Linked DNA regions of Astyanax mexicanus. The protein of the gene in region 1 purifies or fractionates together with the protein of each later gene. This does not show direct contact. Links are inferred from orthologs where the notes say so. Each region holds a gene or a part of one and is shown in the gene's direction. Other genes may lie near its edges. The genes, in order: fbxl5, mms19 and aco1.

Evidence for each region.
Region 2: the proteins of fbxl5 (region 1) and mms19 purify together in Homo sapiens (affinity purification with mass spectrometry; 4 studies listed by BioGRID and IntAct, counting the BioPlex papers as one, with this or other methods). This does not show direct contact. The link is inferred for Astyanax mexicanus from reciprocal best matches to the Homo sapiens genes FBXL5 and MMS19.
Region 3: the proteins of fbxl5 (region 1) and aco1 purify together in Homo sapiens (affinity purification with western blotting; 3 studies listed by BioGRID, with this or other methods). This does not show direct contact. The link is inferred for Astyanax mexicanus from reciprocal best matches to the Homo sapiens genes FBXL5 and ACO1.

Annotation. Positions count from the first base shown.
Region 1 is NC_064420.1:11,522,597-11,529,741, forward strand, and holds the start of fbxl5 (F-box/LRR-repeat protein 5), read left to right. Parts: upstream 1-4,123; 5' UTR 4,124-4,191; coding exon 4,192-4,275; intron 4,276-6,184; coding exon 6,185-6,400; intron 6,401-7,145.
Region 2 is NC_064422.1:9,099,761-9,107,806, forward strand, and holds the start of mms19 (MMS19 nucleotide excision repair protein homolog), read left to right. Parts: upstream 1-4,960; 5' UTR 4,961-5,005; coding exon 5,006-5,093; intron 5,094-5,633; coding exon 5,634-5,682; intron 5,683-6,573; coding exon 6,574-6,674; intron 6,675-7,104; coding exon 7,105-7,190; intron 7,191-7,290; coding exon 7,291-7,365; intron 7,366-8,046. Other genes in the region: ubtd1b (ubiquitin domain-containing protein 1), read right to left, coding at 1,590-1,674. UniProt on the Homo sapiens protein: Key component of the cytosolic iron-sulfur protein assembly (CIA) complex, a multiprotein complex that mediates the incorporation of iron-sulfur cluster into apoproteins specifically involved in DNA metabolism and genomic integrity.
Region 3 is NC_064415.1:28,092,311-28,099,864, reverse strand, and holds the start of aco1 (cytoplasmic aconitate hydratase), read left to right. Parts: upstream 1-4,448; 5' UTR 4,449-4,542; intron 4,543-5,422; exon of another isoform or gene 5,423-5,521; intron 5,522-6,453; exon of another isoform or gene 6,454-6,489; intron 6,490-7,554. Other genes in the region: uncharacterized protein LOC103041383, read left to right, coding at 1,154-1,298. UniProt on the Homo sapiens protein: Bifunctional iron sensor that switches between 2 activities depending on iron availability. Iron deprivation, promotes its mRNA binding activity through which it regulates the expression of genes involved in iron uptake, sequestration and utilization.

The DNA of each region.
Region 1 (7,145 bases):
CAGTGCAATGTGTGCAACTGTAGGTCAACCTTATTTTTATTAAAGGCCATTATTTTAATCAGAAATAATGACAGTAAAGTTGTGATTAATAGTCATTTTTTACATGATTGACCCTATTACTGTAAATATAGTTTCACTGTGATTATCTAACATTGACTTTTATTTTAGATTTTAATATTCATTGTTAAATGTTTTAATGTTCAGTAGGAAACTGAAGATATGACACTGATACTTTTGACAGCCCGTATAACACTAAATTTGCTGTTCCCTCAAAATAACACACTGTCATAAATGTCTAAAAAGTGAGTACACCACTAAGTAGAAAAGGCCAAATTGTGCCCAAAGTGTCAATATTTTGTGTGGCACCATTATTTTTCAGTTGGAGTTTATTAGAGATTCACAGGTTGCTACTTGAATCCTCTTCCACTCCTCCATGGTAAATAGTGCTGGTAAATGTTAAAGACTGTTAAAGAGCGCAAAGCTCTTCCACCTTCTTTTTGAGGATGCCCCACAGATGCTCAGTTGGGTTAAGTTCAAGAGACATACTTGGCCAATCACTTTTATGTTGAGCTTCCTCAGCAAAGCAATTGGTATTTTGGTTTGGGGCCTTTATCATATTTGGAGTTTCCAGCTTCTGCTCTGCTTCAGAATGTCACAGGAAATTCTCCCCAGTGCTGCCAGCACTCACATGGCCCCAGACAATGATGTTATCACCACCATATTTGACAGTAGATAAGGGATAGTTTTCTTGGTAGTCCTGACCAGGATGCCACAACACATTCTGGACACCATCTGAGCCAAACAAGTTGTTGAGGCAGGACATGGTTTCAGTAATCCATGTTCTTTGACTGCGTGTTTTCCTGTGCATCATCTTCAGAAGAGGATCCCTTTTAGGACTTTTGCTGTATGGTCTGAGCACTGCAGGCTGACCTCCCATTTCTTCAAGCTCTGCAGCAATGCTGACAGCACTCTATTTTTTTAAAGCCAGACTATGTATATTACCATTGGCTAGGAACCGGGGGGGTGGGGGGGGATGGGGGGGACATATTAGAAACAGGTGGTTGCCCCCCCCAAAAATGATATCGTTTCGCTCAGATCAGCTGTACTAATGAGGAGACAGACCGGACCAATCACGGAGCCAGTTCATGTATTAATTCCCGCCTCTCAGTAAAAACAGCCAATCAGCTTGCTGGTTTTGCGACGCGGGGAGGAGAGGCAGTGTGCTGGTGGTGGAAGCCCCGCCCCCTCGCTGTGAGATTTAGCAGCGGGATCGGGCTGCAGCAGCAGCTGATTTAAAAACAGATCTGGATATACGGAGATTTAAAAAAAAAAAAAAAAAAAAGGTAACGATAGGCTAACCACGTCAACAGTGATGATATGTTTCTGATAGCTGGTTAAAAATACACGTCTCTGAATCAGCAAAAAGTTTAATCCCACTGTGATTAATAAACTGCAGCTGTGTTAGTGAGTTAGCTTAACTTTGGAATTAGTTATATTGGGAGTCAAGGTTAAAGAAAAAAACTATATATGTAATGTTCAACTTGCCCTGTACCTGATCAGCTAATCGCTATTTCATTTTGTCAAACTGTGTTTATTAATTTAGGATTACAGGACTTACTGTGAGCTATAATGAACGAAAATTCATTTAGTTAACTAGTTTGCTAGAAGCCAGATGTAGTGGATAGCCAGAATTTAGTACAGTACTTTATGTTTTAGTTTAAAGCAGTTTCTTAACCCTGATCACTGCCCCAAAATTGTGTTTTCCACCTGATCCAGCTGATCGGCTAATAAACAGTCATTTACCGAGTTTACCTGTTAAAATCTCTTAGCCCCCTATGGAGCCTAAATTAATCATGTATATCCAGCAGTGTATTAAACACATCATACCACCACTTACCCTATTAAATGCCTTTAAAGCAGAGGGAGCTCTAGAATATGGAGAACAGTGTTAATATGCAGTATAACATGTAAGAACAGGGTTGAGAAACACTGATCTAACCTGACTTCTGTTAATTTGTAGCTCAAAGTGACCACATGTCTATGAAACGCAAAGTTACATTCTTTTACATAAAAGGACACCATCTTAAGAAGAGCTCTCAGTAGAAAATAATAAAGCGCAGGAGAAAACGTAAAGATATGACAGAATTGACATGCCAATAAATAATAATAATAATAATAATAATAATAATAACCAAATAACATGTTTAGGTTGTAAAGTCACATTTTAATAATAATTTACTTTTAATTAAAAGTAATTTCCACAAATGTTGTTCTAGGAAACTACAGGGTGGGCTTGGGTTCATATTGGCAAATGTGTCCCCCCAATTTCAAACCCGCTCCTATGCCCTTGTATATTACACATGAACACGTGAACTCAAGTTCTTTGAATGACTCTGAGAAGGCCTGTTCTGAATGGAACCCATCCTGGAAAGCTGCTGTATGACCTTGGCCATCATGCTGTTTTAGGGTGTTAGCAATCTTCTGATAGATCAGACCAGCTTTGTAGAGAGAAACATTTCAGTTCTTGCCACAATTTCTTGCCATGAAGTGCCATGTTGAATACCAAGTGGCAAATAACAGAGAATTGTACACAAAATACCAAATTTAACACTAACGAGTGGCATAATTTGGCCTTTTTCACTAAAGGGCTATCTATACTTTCTGTTATCAGCACAGTTTAGACATAAATGGCCATGTGTTCAGTTATTTTGGAGGCACAGCAAATTCACACATGAAGCTGTTCACTGATTTATTTATTTTTTTTTAGTTGTGTCCTATGAAAAGATATAATAAAATATTTACAAAAATAGGGGTGTACTATATATTTAGAATACTGTAATACTGTGCCTTCTGATGTCCTTGGGCACAATTTGGCCATTTTTTTACATAGGGGTGTACTCACTTTTGTTGCCAGCAGTTTAGACAATAATGGCAATGTGTTGAGTTATTTTGAGGGAACAGCAAATTTACACTGTTATACAAGCTGTACACTGACTATTTTACACTTTACAAGTATGTAATATAGTTATGAGACCCCAGAAGGCACAGTTTTGTGCTGAAGGCTGTGTAGTGTGTGTTAGGGGCAGATCAATTTAAAATATTGATAGTATTGATACTAATGTTGGTATTTATTAATACTTGTGTGATGAGATCGATTAGGTTTCAGTTCATCTTCTGTACAACTCCAGGCATGTACAGATTAACCGACTGGCCATAAAACACTGCTCTTCTCTCATTTCACTCATACTGAACTAGCCCATTTTATGCCTTAGCAAGCAAACATTAACTATAGACGTAAACCTAACTAGCCATTATTATTCCCTTCCTCCATCCCCATGCTTACATTATAATATTATAAGGCTGTTTTAAACTTTACAAAATTATTCATTAACTGCACAGTCATTAAACATGTCTGACTACCCGACTACTAGGTACACTTAGCCCCAGTAGGGAGCTCTAGTTTAGCCGTGAGATAATGTAGGTTAGTACGTGCAGTAGTGAGAGAATCTATGGCGTTAGCTAATTAACTATAATCTCTAGTTTGCTTCTTAAGTTTCGGTTTATCTTCAGTACAACTCCAGGCATCTACAGAGTGACCGACTGACTGTAAAACACGACTTCTCTCTCACTTCACTCATGCTCAATTAGCCTCTCCCCTTTTCTAAAACTAAATAAATTATTTCACTGGAACTGAAAAATAGATATGCTACCTACAAAAAGATATAGTTATGCCTCAAAACTGAAATATGAATATGGCTGAATACATATTTTATGTTAACTGTCAAGAGAACATTGGGAAAAATCTGTTTGTTAATTGCAAATGCAGATTACCACCCCAAAAGGGGCATTTTAAGTTTTCTATAAACTGTGTTTTATTACCATCAAAAACATAATTATTTATAAAATAAAACAAAATAATTAAATAATAATAAAAAAAAATCATTCAAATTTGCATATTGATGATGCATTCACTTAATAAATTGCTCTCCCCTACACAAAAAAGATGGTAAGAGTAAAAAGTATTCATATCAGTATCGGCAGTACTGGCCCTTTATTTCCTTGGTATTGGATCGATGGAAATTTTTGCAGTATCGCACAGCCCTGCGTGTGTGTGCTGGTGCGGTGTGAGGGGTCAGGTCTGATGGAACTGTACTGCTGTAGTGGAGCTGTGTACTGAGTCCATGGAGCGCGATGGCGCCTTTCCCGGACGAGGTGGACGTGTTCACTGGGCCACACTGGCGAATGAAGCAGCTGGTCGGCCTTTACTGCGACAAGGTATACTGGGAATCCGACCGCTACCTGCTTTACTGGTTTTCATTAACAATTCATATTGTTTAATGGGTTTAATAACGTTAACGGTCGTTACGGTGCTTAGTTACAGGCTCTCTGTTTATCTAGCCTAGCTTAGCTAACCAAACACTAGAGCTCAGCGTGTTTATTGTGGCTGTAAATCGCTAGTTCACCATTATTATCACTTAACATGTAAAGACATTAGTTAGAAACAGAAAATAACACTAGTGTCGTCTTCAACACTGTGATAGAGACGGAATTAGCTTGACGTAGCCTAGCTAGCTAAAGCTGAACCAGGGGTGTGTTGGTGCAAAAGAATGAAAGCCTTGGAAATAGCTAAGGTTAGCTAGCTAACGTAGCTAAGGTAAACCCAAATGTATTTTTAATTAACGGACAATAGCACGTTACTACACAGTTTTATGAACACGTTGCTCTCCAAAATCTCTCTAAAATAAGAAACAAGCTCTTTCAAATATTCTGAAAAAGTGGACTAAGCTACACTAGCCTAACATGCTAACCCAGCTACACCATTAGCTAGCCAACGTTAACTGTAGACGTAAAGCTTAAGATAGCTAACCTAACTAGCCATGTTTCCTTTGCTCGGTTCCTGTGCTTACATCATAATCTTATAAGGCTGTTCTAAACTTTACAAAAGTATTAGACTAATATTCATTAACTGCGCAGTCATTAAACATGTCTGACTCCCTGACTAACTTACTAGCTACAATTAGCCCCAGTAGGTAGCTGTAGTTTAGCTGCCAGCTAACGTAGGTTAGTACGTGCATTACGTGCTGCTGTGGTGAGAGGATCCCTGGTGTTAGCTAACTAACTTACCATAATCTTTAGTTTACTGCTTAACCCACATTATTATCTAACTTACGTTAGGTGCACGCAGTTTGAGATTATTGACTGTTTTCCCAGTTTATGTTATCATACATTTAATATAAATGGTGCTTTGCTGTGTGTTTATAGTGTCAAATTGGTTAAAATTTGTTTGTTATAAAACTGCTGTTCAAAAAATCATTGCTGCACCATTGAAGTTTACAAAAGAGCACCTGGATGTTTTAGAGAACTAACTGACTGGTTAAATATACTGTGGATAGATAAAACCAAAATTAAGTTGTTTGGAAAGAACACACAACGCTATGTGTGGAGAAAAAAGGCACAGCACACCATCAAAACCTCATCCAAACTATGGTCTATGGTGGAAATTCAAGTACTCACAAAGGTTTCACATACTTTTCTTGCAACTGTGTAATGTTAATTATAGTTCATAATTCATTAGGAGTATTTTTAGTTTTCCTTATTAAAAGAAACATGCTGTCTCATGGATAAATAGCTTATAGTTTAATTTGTCTTTTTAAGTAAGTAAACATTATGGGAAATATAGTTTGTTTAGGGATTGTATTGATTGTTTGGTTAGTCAGTAATTGTATTATCTTGTCAGGCCTACTACTTGTTTTGTTTTTTGGGGAGTCGTTAAACAGAGTTTAACTAGTTAAAAGTGATCATTACAGCAACAAAAAGATGCAGGCTGCACATGCTTACATAAGCAGCCTAAACTGCTCCCAATCTTCCCTGACTGCTGCTTAGTCTCAGCTGGCTAGACATTTATGTGTAGACATTTATTGATTATTAAAGGTGTTGAGGACAAGTCTGTGGAGTATAGCTACTTTTTAAACACTCACATGGAAAGAGGATTGGCAGAAGTGAAGACCAGCATCATAGCAAGTATTATTTAGCTTTATTTATAAATTGATTATTTATATTATATAGCTTATCTTTAATTATAAAAATGTATTTCAAAGTTATTTGCCGTATCACCTAATACCCAACATATGCATATTAGATATTGACACCTTTTTCCTTCTTTCTCTCATTTCACTACATACAGCTGTCAAAGACAAACTTTTCCAACAACAATGACTTCCGCGCCTTCCTGCAGACGCTCTGCGCCACCTTCAAGGTGTTCAAGATCCATGAGCAGATTGAGAATGAATACATAATCGATCTGCTGCAGCAGCGCAGCCGTACCATCTACAACGTGCACTCTGACAACAAGCTGTCCGAGATGCTGTTGCTTTTTGAAAAAGGCCTTCGCAATGTCAAGGTGCGTGTCAATATCTGTGCACAGACATAACATGCTTTACATGTAAGTGTTTGTAGATATCATCTTGTCCACCTTTTTCTTCAAAGCAGAGATATAATTGTTATTATCATTATTATTATTGAGTTTTGACCTCCTTGCTGAAGAAAGGCTTTAGACTTTAATTAACTTTAACGTTAATTTGTTTTACCGCTCTACTGGAGTTGTTTATTTGATATTTGACTTTAGGCTTATTTGTGGCTGCTCAGTTCGGCAATGATTTTCTGTGGAAATCGTTGGGCTTATCAATATATAATTAATATCAGTATATACAAAACTGCCTTCCACAGGATGATATCTTAATATTGCAGTTGCTACACAGGTTTCCATCTCAGTTGTTTCATTTCTAGAAACAACTTATGTGTTGTTTGTGTGGAAACATTTTGGTTAGTTTTTCCCTCACTGAATCTCTGTGTGTGGGAAGACGGTGACACTGTTGAGTGTCGTCTGTTAATAGTATCTGTCCTCGCCCATTGCAGATATGTCACCACTATAATAATGGGTTTTTTAACTGGTGTTTAAGGATATTTATGCCAGTGTTTTAATAAGAAGTTGTTATATTGCTGAGGCGCTGTTCGCATCAGGCACAGTCAAGAATCAGCCTTATTGAAACTATAGACAAAAGTCTGAATAGTTGCTAGATTTTTAGATTGCAATGCTTTTCAGAAGAAAGGTAAAGGTTACCTAGAACCATAAACGATTAAAAATT
Region 2 (8,046 bases), on another chromosome or scaffold:
TTTCCAATGGCACTATTCAGCTGAATAATGCTTGCACACATACAGCAAAGCAAGGGTTTCTCAGAAGTGTCTCCAGCAGATTGCACCATATCCTTGATTGCTCAGTCAGTAGATTATCACCATTCAAACATTTACTAGCAGCGCACAGCTCAGGAGTTCCTCAAATTGAACAATTCTAGCTGTATATTGGGAGTAATGCAGAACAAAATATTGTGATCTTAGAGAATATCAGTATTTTATTACACCCTATTAACAACAGTGTCTATAACCTAGAAGTAGTCATTTAAAATGGTTTCTTAACTAGTCGAAAAGAATTGCACTACCCAGTATTGTCCAAAGCAGCAACAGTTGTGTAGGACTGCAACAATTAGTAAACATAATCGAAAAATGATTATAAAAATTGTAACTACAACAAACAAAATGATTAGTTTCAGCCCCAGGTGTACGTAAGAAAATGTATCTAGGTCTTTACCAAGCCTACTAATCTATTGGTCTATTAAGTCTATTAAACTCTCGATTAGTTTTCAGATTAGACGATTAGCAGACGAGAATTTCTGCCAGAGAGAGATACAGGTGGCATGGTAATCCACCAGAGATGTATAGTAAAGTAGAATTCCTTCCCTACTGTACTTAAGTACTAAAATGCTGTATCTGTATTTACTGGAGAAGATATATATATTTTTTTGTATTACAAATCTTTCCAAACCCACATTATCACTAAAATCAGAGAGGTAGATGCTCTGCACTGTGACCAGGTATGATGAAGCTGCTTATCACTGAAAGAATGAAAAGCTGTCATGGTACTACTTTCAGTAACAATTAAGTACAAAAAAGTACAAAAACATTTGTAAAAGTATTCCATATAAAAGTTGTGCTTAGAACACTCAAGTCACTTTTTTGATAAAAACTTACTCAAAACTACTCAAATCTGGACCTCTAGTACTTTATACAGGTCTGCAATCCTCTCTCTCTCTCTCTGCTTTGTTTCTCTATTGCTTCAAAAAAAAAAAAAACAGACTGAAAGACTGTAGTACATCATCCATCAAAACCCAACTGTAACCACACAAATTTAATCTGGATCCAACTGCAACCTCACACATTCCATGTAGCCCAATAAATTTGGTCAGAATGCATGTGGGGTTAGACAAGTTCTATCTGAATCCTGACTGTAACTCGACCAACTCTGTTAATAGCAAACTATGTCCAAATCCAATCATAACCCCACAATTTTCAATTGAATATGAAATTCTGTTTAAACCCAACTAGGCCAACAAATTATGTCTGAATGTGACTATAGTATAAGGTCAGACTTAAATGTAGATGCCAAAATTCTTTATCAATATGACTTCAACCCAACAAATTTTGCTTAAAATCACACTGCAGCCCTACAAATATTCTCTATGAACTCGACTGTAATCCAACAAATTCAGTCTGAACCTGACAGTACCCCAACAAATTGTGTGCACTGGAATGTGGGACTTAAAAACTCACTCAAAAAAAAGACATACACTGAGTTGCAGTTACAAATCTGACTAATAGACAGTGAAATTTCAAGGCCTAAAGACTAGCAGCTACATGTTTTCACTCACCTCCACGCTTCCTCTGACTCCTGCCACCTCGAGATGATCCCTGTCCGCGGGACTCCTGCCGTTCTCTGCCCACACATCCTCCCATGGTTCGGTCAGATAAACACGAGCCACATTGTTCGCTGGCTGCTGCTATTGATCACGACCTGAAAGGGGGAGCTGGAGCTTCGCACACAGCTGTGTTGTGGTCATCAACATGCGGCTGTTTAAACAGGAAAGCCCTGTTTAAATACAGGTGGATTGTTTTGGCAGGGTTTTTCCCCTCACCTGTAGCTTTAACTGAGCTGGGGACTTCTCCTCACCTTCAGACGGCTTTAGCTTGTGGGAGAGGTGTTAACGCTTAGATAGATAGCTCCAGCAAGCAACACTAAGACTGCAAGTGGGCAAGTGTGGGCTTGTAGTTGGGGTTATGTAGTTAGCTGGAAAGAAAGCAGGCAGGCGGACGCTGTTCTCTGTTCTGGAACACCTTGTTCTGTTTAACGTGGCTATTTTATGGGGTTCACCAATCAAATGGTGGGAAACTGTTTTGTTAAACTAATAAACTGAAACAGGAAAAATTAGGAAAAAGCTCCATACCTATTTTTGAGCTTGGTTTCAGTTTCTAAACGTCTAAACTGTTAGCTTAGCTAGTTAGTTAACTAGCCAAGATAACCAACCAACTAAACTAGTTAACTTTGCTAACTCAAGTAACGTTAACCTAGGTAGCGAGCTTGTTAACTAATACGGACACACTAGGCTAGATAGATAACTTAGCTAAGTTTCACCAATCAAGTGGTAGCAAATTATTTTGTAAAAATAATAAACTTAAACAGTAAAGGTTAGGAAAAAGCTCAATAGCTATCTGTAACACGCTTATTTTAAGTTTCTTAACTTTTTAAGACTTAGCTTACCAGCTTACCTAAATTTGAGTAACCTAGGTAACCTAGCTAGCTAACTGGGACAAACTAGGCGAGCTAAGATAGCCAAGGTTCACCAATTAATTAAATGGTAGCATATTGTTTTGTTAAACTAATAAACTTGAACAGGAAAAGTTAGGAAAACGCTCCATGGCTATTTATAACACGCTTGGTTTCAGTTTCTAAACTTCTATGACTGTTAGTTGGGTTTGCTAACTCAAGTAACCTAGGTACGTTATGCTAAATAACTAGCTTAAACTATGCCAACTAGCTAAGCTAGGTTAGCTTCCAATCCTAAACTGTATCATGTAACGTTATCGTAGTTAAGGCTAGTTAGCTAGCTCCCTAGCTACGTAGCGATATGTAAAGCTAACTTTGTCCTAACACTTCTGAACACACGACGTTTTAAAGCACATCCCCGGTCCGGATATGGCCCAAAGCAGTCCTGTCGCCCCGCTGAGAGTCTGGGAACTCGGCATTGCTGATCGACCCGCTGGCACCGCCGTACTCCGCTTCTCCACCGAGAGCCAACTTCTCTCTATCCGCCTCGGAGGAGCTAAAGCTCGGTTAGCGCTCCTGCTACAGTCCGCCAGAAACCTGGGACCTAGGGAAGCCTACAGAACAAAACAAGGAGAGCAGAGTAACATTTGAACCGAATTTAGACATGTATTCGCTCTGTAACAGGATTATTTTTGCAGATATGTAACTCTAGCTACCTCGTTTCCCCACTCTCGAGTCGCACCAACAGATCAATTCGCTTCGGCTGTGACTGTTTGCGCTTGCGCGGAACTAGGGTGCCTACGACACGCAGGACTCTGCAGCGATTGGGCGAAGCCAATGTTGATTTATGTACCTTAAATGTTCTCATATTTTATATGTATTAAATATGTATTTAAATGTATAGTTTTAATCTATTTTTTTCCTCTCACATATTGATGTCAGGCGATTAAAACTGATTTAATAAATTATTTATATGCTAAATTATTTAATCACATTTATCATCAAAACATAGATGAGGAGCAAATTAATGAATTAATTATTTGGAGAGCTCCACCTTTATTCACTAAACATTACAAAAAAATTATAGAAGACGGTCACACATGACAGAGGTTATTTTCTGGAGAGTTTAGACTACTCGAATATGTCTTAAAGACTACTTACATTTTTAATACATTTTTTTTACATAAATAGCTGAAATATGTTGATCTGTAATAATAAAACATACCAGCCCTGCTTTAAACACTAAAATGAGATGCAAATATTTAGAATTTAGATATTCACTTATTTTTATCCTATTTCCGGTTTTTGTCATTTTTTGTTATACATAGTGATATCAGTCAATTCAAAATGACTCATTTATATGCTTAATTATTTCTTAATCACTTTTATTCACATTTATCATCACACATTTTAAACTGTACAATTCAATTGAATCTTAGATGAGGAGCAAACAAATAAATGAATACATTACATATTAATAGCTCTACTTTTAATCACCTGAAAAATTACAAAACAATTACAGAAGATGGTCACATATGACAGAGGATATTTCATGTCTTGTCATGTCATGTCATCTATTATGCTTACTGTTTTTCGAACTTTATTTACTTATATTGATCATATATCAGCTATATATCATATATGTTGTTTATTCAACTTTGTAAGGTTTTCAGTTATTCACTAATTAATAACTTATTGTCTATATATTTTAGTTATTTTTAGATTGGGGGCAGTATCATATGGATAACTCTGGTAAAACAGTGTTTTAGACATCAGCCAGCGTATTCATAATCATTTAGTGTAATAACTTTATGTGAGGGAACTTTTTTTAGCTTTTCCAGTCTGTCCACTCTGGTAGATTCTGATTTATAAAGTTTCTGTGTTATTCTGATGATAAAAAGGCAGCTCACACGTTCACGCGCATCTGGCCGTTAACAGTGACGTGCACGTGCGACCGTGTGCGCATGCGCGCGCTGAAACGCACTTTGAATCCCCCTAAAGTGCTGGGTTCGACTCGGTTTAACGAATCGATTCTTTTTTTTAAGAGACTCTACTCAAAAATATGTCCAAGAAAACATTTTTCTTGGACATAAAGTTCACAGATAATCAGCCATGGGTTATTTATTTATTTATTTATTTATTCTATACATTTTAAGTACACATTTATCAGTATTATCACAACTGATGTTGCAGGAACCCAAATATGTATCTAATATTATATATTTGACTTTGGTCAAAATAAATGAGAATAAATAAGAATACATAAACTGTGCAAAACAATTTTGATTTCACGATACATTAGTTTAGATTCTTTTTTTTATTATTTTGCTAAACAAAGATTAAAAATGTTGTTTTGGTCTTTTAATGTTAATTGCTATTAATAAATACAAAAAAAAATATATATATATATATATATATATATATATTTATAGTTTTGATTCTTTTGAACACGTGAATCAATTTAGTCCAAAGACTCGGTTCAAGGAGCCGATTCGTCCACGAGTCGGACATCGCTAGTTCGCGATGGCGGCCGAAAGCGCTCAGTTGGCCGGGCTGGTGGAGGAATTCGTGGCGGGACAGGTGGACAGCAAGGCCGCGGACGTTGCGGCAGGTATGTTACGTGTTTGTCGGTGAGGTACAGAGCCAGGTGTTTTTTTTAAAGGGAGCACGAGCTCTCAAAATGTGCGTGAGATGCTCAGGTAGCGTGACTCGCACGTCGCTAACGTTCCCCCACATCCTGTAGGCTGAAGTTGGCTTCTTGTTTGAATTTCGTGGTTCCACCTTAATTGGGCTGCGGTCACATTCTGGCGCCGGGCAGGAGCGTGAATGTAACTACAGCCGATTTAAGGTGGAACGGGACAATTAGAGAACATGAAGCTAACTTCATCTTACATGACTTTTCAGGCAACTTGAGCATATGTCGACGATGTTGCACCATAAATTTGATAATTTATAGAAAAATACATGTAAAAATAACAAAATACCAATTGTCATTCACTATAACCCTTGCCTACAGTATATATAGAAGTGCCTGAATGGACGTGCACTATGGCTTTGGGAGAAGCCTGCAGCCAATATGGTTATCAGGGTCTGTTTGCCCTACATTTCTCACCTTAACCTCAATATAAACATGTTTTTATCTCTCTTTAAGGTGTCAAAGCTGGAAACTTTAACATACTGGAGCTGGTGGAGGCTCTTGGGTAAGATCCTCTATTCTGCATTAACTACATTATATTATATTTTATATAATTTACATTTAAGCATTTAGCTGGTACTCTCATACAGAGCAACTTACAAAGTTACGCTTAATACAAAATTGGGCCAATGTAGTGTTAGAAGTCTTGCACAAGGATTCTTGGGCTACGTTCACATTACCTGGCTGAAGTGACTCAAATCTGATTTTTTTCATGGCTGTGTGAATTTAAGTCACTTTCATATGTGGTCTTAAATCAGATACGTATCCGATCCTTGGACATGCAACATGAATGTGAACGGTCAAATAGGAATTCATGTGTTTTGTTTCTTTATTTTACGCATTAGCGCTACGTGTTTCTCTCTCGTACCCACACATTTCTTGGTGCAGCTATGCAGCTATAGCTGCAAAAAAACAGCAAAAGCAAACCAACTGGCGTTTTTTTCACCTCCTCAATCTGAGCATAAACTTCAGACCAGTTGTTTGCTCTCCACTCCAGCAAAAGATGATCCATATATGAGCTGCTAACGATTCCATTTCTCTTTATAAAGCTACGAGTCTCTCGTCTTTCTAATATAATATATATTTTTTTGGTGGTGAAGATGGAGACGTTTATACAGGTATCAATGTGCAGCATGTGAGACGTTTCAGGGACAGATTCGTTCACATTACACAAAGATACAGATCACTTACATTTGTGAATGTAAACCGTCAAGATAGACTAATCCGATCTGACCAGAAAAATTGTATTTGAGCAACGTGGCTTGTAATGTGAACGTAGCTTTATTGGCGTTATGTGTTATATCATAGTATGTCAGAGCTCTCAGAAGCTCTAATAGTGTTGCACAGTTATCAGTCTCTGGACATTGACCCTGATGATTCTGCTGTTTGTGTTTAGGATAAGTCTCACGAGTTCTCAGTCTCAGACGCGAGGCAGAGGGGTCCAGCTCCTCTCTGAAGTCCTGCAGGAATGCTACAGCGGCCTATCCGAGAGGGAGGGTAAGCTTTTATTCATCTTCTGATGTGCATTTTGCACTGGAGCTGGCAACCAACAGCCTAGTTTGATGTAGGGGTTTTTAACTATATTACTGCAGCTTTATAGGTTTATGAATTAAAGAGCCACTAAATCCTAAATCCTATTTTTAAATTAATAGCTGAAATTTGTTTCTCTGAAGAAAGGGCTGGGCGATATGGAAAACTATATCGTGATTAGATTTTTTTTCCATATCAGTCAATATCGCTATGTATCAATATGAATCATGTCACTTTCTGTTACACCTAAAGGTTTCTTTTTACACAAGTGACAGAATAAGGGCGTTATGGCCAAGCTCACCACCATGTTTTAGTCTAATGAATTTTAGTCACATAAAAATTGAGTTCTAACTCACTCTTACTGAGTTCCTGACTCTTTTATGACCCCTGTCTGCAGTGGAGGTCCTGATTGCCTTCTACGAAAACAGGCTAAAGGATCACTATGCGATCACACCGCACGTTCTCCGAGGACTCAAGGCCTTGGTGAGTCAGAAGCAGTCTTTGAGTAAACCAGGTGAACATTGGAGAAATTGAGGCTGGAGACGCTGATTCAACAAATGACTGACTCATATTTGTCCTTCAGGCGAAGAGTACAGTGCTGCCTCCTGGTTCTGCAGTATCCATCCTGAGATCCCTCTTCCAGGATGTAAATGTGCAGGTAAGGGTTTTAATAACACACTCCAAATGTAGGTACTGTGATATACACTTAGGCGGAGCTACAGTCTCTTATTAGAGTAAATATTATTACTCTAACACTCTAAATAAACAGTATTAAGTAAAACGGATTATATATTTCATAGTTCTGCAAATATTTTATTATATCTTATATAGGGTTGCAGCGGTAACCGGTTTCACGGTATACCGTGGTATTAAAATGCACGGTTATCATACCGTGTGTGTTTGCTTATTACCGGTAAAACTCAAGCCAGCGGAGAAAGTCACCCGCGCATGCGCAACTCTGCTCCGCTTCAGCTACTCAGCACACAGCGGTGAGAATGGCAGAAAGTGCATCAGACTAGAGCTTAGATTCTCTGCCCGAACCAGACCTGACCCGAGGACCGACCCGAAATCGGGTCCGTTCGGGCCGAGATTTCCCACCACATTCCTCGGGCCGGGTCGGGTTGGGCTCCAGAAAATAGTCTGAGATGTAGGCATCTGTTTTTTAAATTATATATTTTATTTTTAAATAAAGCTCTGGTGTGATAATCACAATGTTAATGCTAAGTAACCAATTATTATTGTTAATGAAAACGAACCAAATAACGAAAACTGAAAGTGAAACTTAACTAACTTATTTATAAGCGCTGTTTTCACTCCCGCAGTTCTACAGCGGGAGGTG
Region 3 (7,554 bases), on another chromosome or scaffold:
TTGTTATGAAAAGCTTGTTTAGAAGTCATGTGTTAGAAATGGTGCCCTGCAGTAAAGTGTTACTAGATAGTTCAATGAGTGCTTAATTCAGTTACAATTGAAATGTAATAGGCTAATACTAAATACTAAATACTAATAGGCTATCAAGCGAACGGTGCCAGACACCGGCCCTCCATAACTGTTGTTATGAAGGGAGTTGTGCACCCCTTGTTTAAACAGTCTAATAAAAAAAGTTTTGGTCTCTTACTAAAAAAGATCATTTTGGGCTCTATAAGTAATGGAGTTAGTCATAATTATCCACAGTAGTTTTTTCAGTAGACCATAGGGTTTCACTCCTAAGCTGGGTAAGCTACTCAACTATGAGTCCTTGTAGCATACTTTTCATGTATTAGGCTCAAAAGAAAAGTATTGACAGCTTGATGATGTAAATGTATTAAAAAACTAATAAGGCAAATCATTACTTTAAACATGTTTCAAATATCAAATATAAAAAATATCAAATATCATGTTTCAAAAATCAAATATAAAAGCATTTCTACTGAATCACATTCTGCATATTTATTTTCTTTGAACAGTTTTACACATTTGTGTCCAATAAATGTATTAAACAATTTCTTAGAAATATATATATATATATATATATATATATATATATATATTTTTTTTTTTTACAATTATTGTTTCCATTAAATTGGCTTTTGACAGTGTTTGAGAAAGTTTGGGTTTCAATTTTATCTGCATAAAATCTTTACATGCTTGAGTTTAATACTGTTTATTAATAAAGCAAAATCTGTAGAAAAAGCTACTGACCCATGGAGGGGAAAAATACTACCCCTAATTCTTGTAGTATTATTGGATTTTTTCCCCTTTTCTCACTTTCAGTCCTGAACAAGGGGGATTTATCCTGTAAAAATAGCAAAAACTGTTCTGTGCTTCAGGGGGAAATCAAAGATAACTTTAAATGAGCTTACATACTGTACACAGTGTATGTACAAAGTAGATTAAAAATACTTTGTTAAAAGAAAGATCGAGATTTCATTCCTGATTTTATCACAGTTGTTTTTTTATCAGTTCAAATCTTGGGTAACATGTTTATGAATCAAAGGTTCAAGCTGAGTTCAACTCGACTTGGCTTTGTTCCCCTCCACTCTAGGCAGTATGTTATCAGTCAGATTCCCAGCCTGGAAGTCCTAGATGACACAGAGGTGCAGGAGAAAGAGCGAGCTCTGGCCAGGAAGACCTACAGGATGCAGAGAATCAGGGAGGGCAGCAAGAAGAGGAAGGAGCTCCATCACTGATAGCCAATGGCTAATCGTTTCATCAGACCCTTACCGGGCTGTGTGCCAAGCCAGCCCTGCGCTCTTTAAATCTCAGAACAATCCAACCACTCATTCCAGGCCTCTATAAGCTTTATGGGAAGAACGTGAACCAGTACATGTTTGCATTTGTAAAGTGATTAGAGCTGACTGTGAGGGCTCGTCTCTGCATTTTTCTTCTACTTGAGTTTATCACTAAGGTCTGCTGGGATGTTTGTGTGGAGTATTGCACCAAAAATGTCATTAACTTAAGAATAATATATCAGAGCTGTCAGGAAAAAAAATATTTGTGTCTTGTTTTTACATTGTGTTCCAATTCCTTTGTGCACAGGTTGAAACATATAGTCCAGAATTATTTTAAATAAAATCTTGTTCCACTGAAAATGTTTATTTTCTTTCTCCTTTTAATCATATATTTAATGACAGCATGAATATACAAATATGATCTGCATTGATTCGTTATCTTGTATTGTAAGGTTAAATATATCAGTTTAAACATTAGTTTGGTTGTAGGGCTAAAGTGATGAAGACAGTGCTTAATGCTGTTTTTTTAGCTTAGTTTCCAAAAATATATGGTAACACATATGGAAACTGAATGGGTGGACTGGGAAGCTTAAAAACCTGTTTACATGCTACTACATCATCATGTATTTCATCATTTTTTTTATTATACAGGGCATTTACAGTAAAGCCTTGGTTGATGCACTATAAATGTTGGTTAAATAATTGATTATGGAACCACTTAATTTTCTTAAAAAAATAAAATAAAACAAAGGATAAACATTATAAACACATTAAAACACAGTTCATATTTTGCCCACTAGAAAAACGCCTATATTTTCAGCAATGTCAAAACACTGTTTTCTGTGTATATCAGTATATGGACGGATGGTTCTGCACCAATTATATTACATATTAAAATTATTCTGTAACGAGGTTCAAAACAAGGTCAGAATAGTACACTAAAGCTGTGCATCCATTCTTATTAATATCTGTAGTAGTAGCAGCAGTAGTAGGAGTAGTAGTAGTAGTAGCAGCAGTAGTAATAATAATCATAGTAGTTTGGCAGTAATTAAGTAATTGCATTTTGTTACTTTATTGTACTGAAGGTTACTGTGCAGTTTTTTTTTTCTCATCTTTACTTAGGTATTTATATTTTAGTGTTTTTATTACAACTTCACTACATTTCAAAGACAAATATCTCTACTCTTTATAAATATCTTACATTTTTTTCTTACTCCACTACATTATTCGAAATCTAAAAAAAAAAAAAAAAAAAACAGAAAGCAAGCACATCAAACAGGTTACAGTATACACTTTTTAACTTGTTTTTACCTGCTGGAACCCTTTTGGCAAGCATACAATTTAATATCAGTATTACAGTGCAAAATGTGTGTAAGAGTACATATATAATGGAATAAATTGTTAAATATAGAAAAGAAAACCCTTTTTGTACACCTGTATTTAAAGCAACATAAAAAAAAAACTTGAATCTAAGTTGCAATTAAACTTAAACTGAAACTTTGCATGTTTGCATTTTTTTTATAGACAATTGGTGTATTCAGTGTTTAGTTTATAATGAGTTTGATAGACTTCAGTGTCAAATTAATGGCATTCTGTAAAAGATGAGTAAACCAAGATTGACACAGGAGACTTTTCACCTAAAATTATTTGACTTGGTTTAAATAAAATAAATACAATAGGATATTTAAACCAGACTATTTTATGGTAATTTTACTCTGTGTCTGAAATGTACCAAATGCTGCCCTGCTTAAAAAATCCAAGTCCAGCTAGTCTTTCAGACAACACATACCCTATGCTGGTAGGCTAGCTCCTGATCAGCACAGGGTTTTCTCTGGATGACCAGCTGCTCTTGAACTAGTTTTTTAGCATGGGTCTGAGGCAGGAAGGCACCCAGCATTGAACTAGCATATCTAGCATTGAACTGTCCATACCTTGGCAACTTTAGGATGTATTGCTCCGTATTGTTTCAGATAGTGATTTTTTTATTTTATTAATAAACTGCCTTGTGTTTCAGGCACAGACTAACTATTTACTATTTATTTGAAGGCAAATAATTTTGTACTTTTGCTCTAGTGGAGATCTAAATGGGGTTGTTCTCCTTTTACTGGGGTAATATTTTAGAAATATCTAATTTAACACAGGTACATACATGGCTGTACAAGGAGTATGCTCGGGGCCTGTGGTTTAGGACACAGACTGTTCAAGTTAGCATTTCTTGTGTTTCAGACACAGACTTAGTATTTAATTTTTTCAAGGCAAATAATTTTGTACTTTTGCTCAAGTGAAGACGTAAAGGAATGCCTTCTACGTTTTTTTTGTTACTGGAGTAATATTTTAGAAATATCCAATTTGACTCAGGTACATGGCTTTACAAGGGGTATTCTAGTGGCTTGTGATTTAGGACACAGCCTGTTTAAGTTTGTATTTCTTGTGTTTCAGACACAGACTTAGTATTTAGCTACGTTTTTTTTTAAGACAAATAATTTTGTACTTTTGCTATAGTGGAGAGCCAAGGGGAGACGCTACGTTTTTTTTACTGGAGTAATATTTTAACTCGGGTACATGGCTGTAAAATGTATATTCTAGTGTTACGTGGTTTGGGACACAGCCTGTTCCTAAAAGTACACCAGCTGCAGGCAGGCAGACCAGTGAGATCAGGTTATGCAATAGCTCACCTTTGTTCATTGGTTCCTTGAAACCCACCCCAGGGAGTGGAGTTTTATTTGAGCAATACAATTAGGAGTTTACTTTACTGCGTTTATTAATTTTAAACTGTTATAAAATGCATTAATAATGTGGGGAAAAAGAAAAAAACAGCGTCAGGTATGCATGAAAATAATTAGCTAGCTGTTAACCTCTGTCATAATGACCCCTGTTAAACCCCTATGTTTTTTTAATAAACAGCTGAATCATTACCGTATTAAATGTGGTATAAAGACTTATTTAGCAAGGGGTTACTTGTTTTGTTGGTGAAACAAGCGTGCAGGGACATATATAAACAGTCAGTGCTGTACATTAGTAATATAATTCTGTATTTATGAAGGCTGACAGGGATAGAAATGTTATAAATGCTATTTTATGAGTTGCGTGTTTTCTCTGTGTTGTATTGTACCTGTGGATTACGGTAAACAGCAGCGCCGCTGCTCGCCTGGCTCTTTAGCTGGGTATCAGAGCAGAACTTCAGGGTTTGGGAGCTGAGCAGGTAACTGAGCTGGTCCTGTTTAAAATAAGCGCTGTGCTGTTTGTGTGAAGTTTGAGGAAACCGTGCTGTAGATGGTAAAGCTGCCTAAGGTTATACAACGTATTTAAACTCTCGTTATTGCGTAAGGTAGTCTGTTAAACGCTAGCTAATGTTAGCTGTGACCGACCGGTGTTCTGCCGAGTTGTGTTACCCATCGGTTTGTGCTACTTAGCGCCTCTGCGCATGCGTTAAACTTTAATTTTTACTGTTTTCTTGTGTTTTTCCTGATAATTTCGTTTTTTCCCCGGGTGCATTGTACAATTTGGACTTACTGCCATCGTTTGCTTGAGTGTTATAACTGAAAAATAGAATAAATAACGATAAAAACGCTTTCTAATTACTATGTATATAACTTTATCCTGATACAGCGATAAGGCTATTCAAATATCATACCGAGACTTAATTTGCGTGCATGTTCTAATATTTTATATTTTACCTTTGAATACACACTGGGGTAGCATAGTTTGACAAGGTTTGTAAATCTCAAAAGTTGTGCTACCTTGTCAAACCGTGCTACACTAGTGTATCTTTACTGTAAAAATACAAAATAGGTACCATATTGCAGCCTGTTCCCAGTAGAAGTCCCAGTAGATGTAGATAGTATATTTGGATATCATAAATCACTGTATCATGATAAGAGATTCATACAAACTGCTTTTGTATTTTTTTGTAAATAATAACTATTGTATTTATTATAATTCATTTACATTTACACGTTTGTCCAATGACAGCGAGTCCAGCTTGTTTAAAGCACAAAAATAGAAATATTACAAAATAAAAACACGAGAAATAAATACAAACTGTAGGTCAGCGCATGCGCAGTGCTTTTAGGAAGCACTATCGGTGGGTAGCAAAACTCGACGGAACACCCCGGCTAGCTGTAGTATCGTTAACGTTAACCGAGAGACTGACAGTGAGTGGGGGAGAGGTCGAGGCTGAGGCTGCGTCCAGAAACTTTTGCTACTCCTCCTCTCCTACTCCTCCTTTCCTACTCCTCCTCTCCTACCCCGGAAGAAGGTGGAGGAATCGAGGAGAGGAGAGGAGGAGGAGGAGGAATGGAGGGAAGGAGCTGTAATTGGGGAAATGGGACAGCTGATCCCTTTTAGATAGGATGTTGAAAACCGTTGAACTGAGCCAATCACAACGCTCACTATCAGCACGTTTCAGAACATTACTATCACACACAGCTAAAAATTCAGATATTCCAATAAAATCCTGTTTACTCCCAGCCGCATTTTTGGCCGCATCTCTGGCCAGTGACTCTGGTAGCCCTGTCTGACCTCAGCCTTATGAGGGATTCAGTTCCTCATCAGTCCCTAAGTTAAAATAAATAAGTAAATAAATTAATTAATTAAAATGATATATATATATATATATATATATATATATATATATATATATATATATATATATATATATATATATATATATATATTATAAATAATATATGTTTTTATATGTATAACATGATACACATAGGGTCATAAATATAGTTTTACTGAGCATACAGTTTATCTAAACTATAAATTATATTACTGCTTTACTGGCTGTTTAATTAGATAAGGAACCTAGTTAATTAATATGTTTATGACGTATATTTGGGCGTTGCCTTCCCCATTTTCGCGTGCTCTGTGGGCGTGGATGCAGTGATGTCATTGGAAAATCCTTAAAAGTCTTCCGGAGTAGGATACACTGATGTAACCTCCGTTGGAAGCCTACTACAGGTGGATTTTAAGCGGCTTCTTTCGTCTCCTACGGTATTCGGACAGGCGGCAAGATGGCGTCACGAAATCAGTTTCCGGGTCACGGAGGAGAGGAGGAGGATCGGTAGGAAAAAGGAGACACTTTTGGGGTTTCTGGACGCAGCCTGAGTCTCCAGTATAGCAGAGTTAACTAAAGCAGCAGCAGGTCGAGTATCATCATCATTATTATTGTTGTATTTACTGAGTAACTGTGTTACTAACTGAATATCTGAGTGTTAGCTAGGTTATTTAGCTAGCGGTGGCTAATGTTTTGTAGGATGAGCTAATGTTAGCATGTAAACTAACTAAGCTAGCTAAGGATAGCTAATCTAACTATTTGGCTAACTAGCTACTGAAGTAACCCCTGAATTAAACCTAGCTATCTAGCTTATTGGATAGATGGTTAACTAGGTTAACTCGGCAACTTTTCCCACTAGTTTGCTGTAGTTTAGGCTGTAAAGATAGAGAAGGTATATTGCCCTCTGTCATTCATTATTTGAGTTTCATTGAATTTGTTTGGTGTATAAGTGAACCTGAGCAGGTGGATGAGGTGGAGTGCTCGTTCAGAGTCCACTTGTAGGAAGCTAAGCTAACCAGCTAGCAAGTAGTAACTACATTATTTACAAGCTATTTTTTTAAAACCTAAAAAAGCACAAGCTGTGCAAACTCAGTGCCTTTATTGATTGGTGTCATGTCATCCACAAGTGTTTTACCATATTACATTGTATTATTCGACATTTTCTTTTTTTTTTTTAATCCAAAACATTATATATCACTGTAATGTAATTACTAGTAAAAATTTTGATTTCAGATATACTAGCTATGGAAATGGTTTTAGAAAATGTAAGTGTGCTGCAGACTCCCATTGACAGCATGCCATATGCACTTAGTTACCAAAAGCTAAAATTCACCCGATTTGCTCCAAAACATAAATGTCAATTACATTTCTGGCAGATTGAAGAAATTGCAAGGAATTGAATTAATAGTCTTTCCACAAAAAGGGGCATAATAATAATAAAACATTACCTTGCCTCCCTATTTAAAAACGACCAGACATTAATTTTGGACTACCCCTTGGTGAAAGATTGTTGACTGATGGACTTGCCTCTAAAACACTCTTAAAGACACTTTGTTGAGTTGACAGACTTTGAGAGGAGGAGCATCATAAAACTGAGAGAAGCAGTATGATTGTTTTAAAGAACTATGCTGCCATCTATAAACCACCATAGCC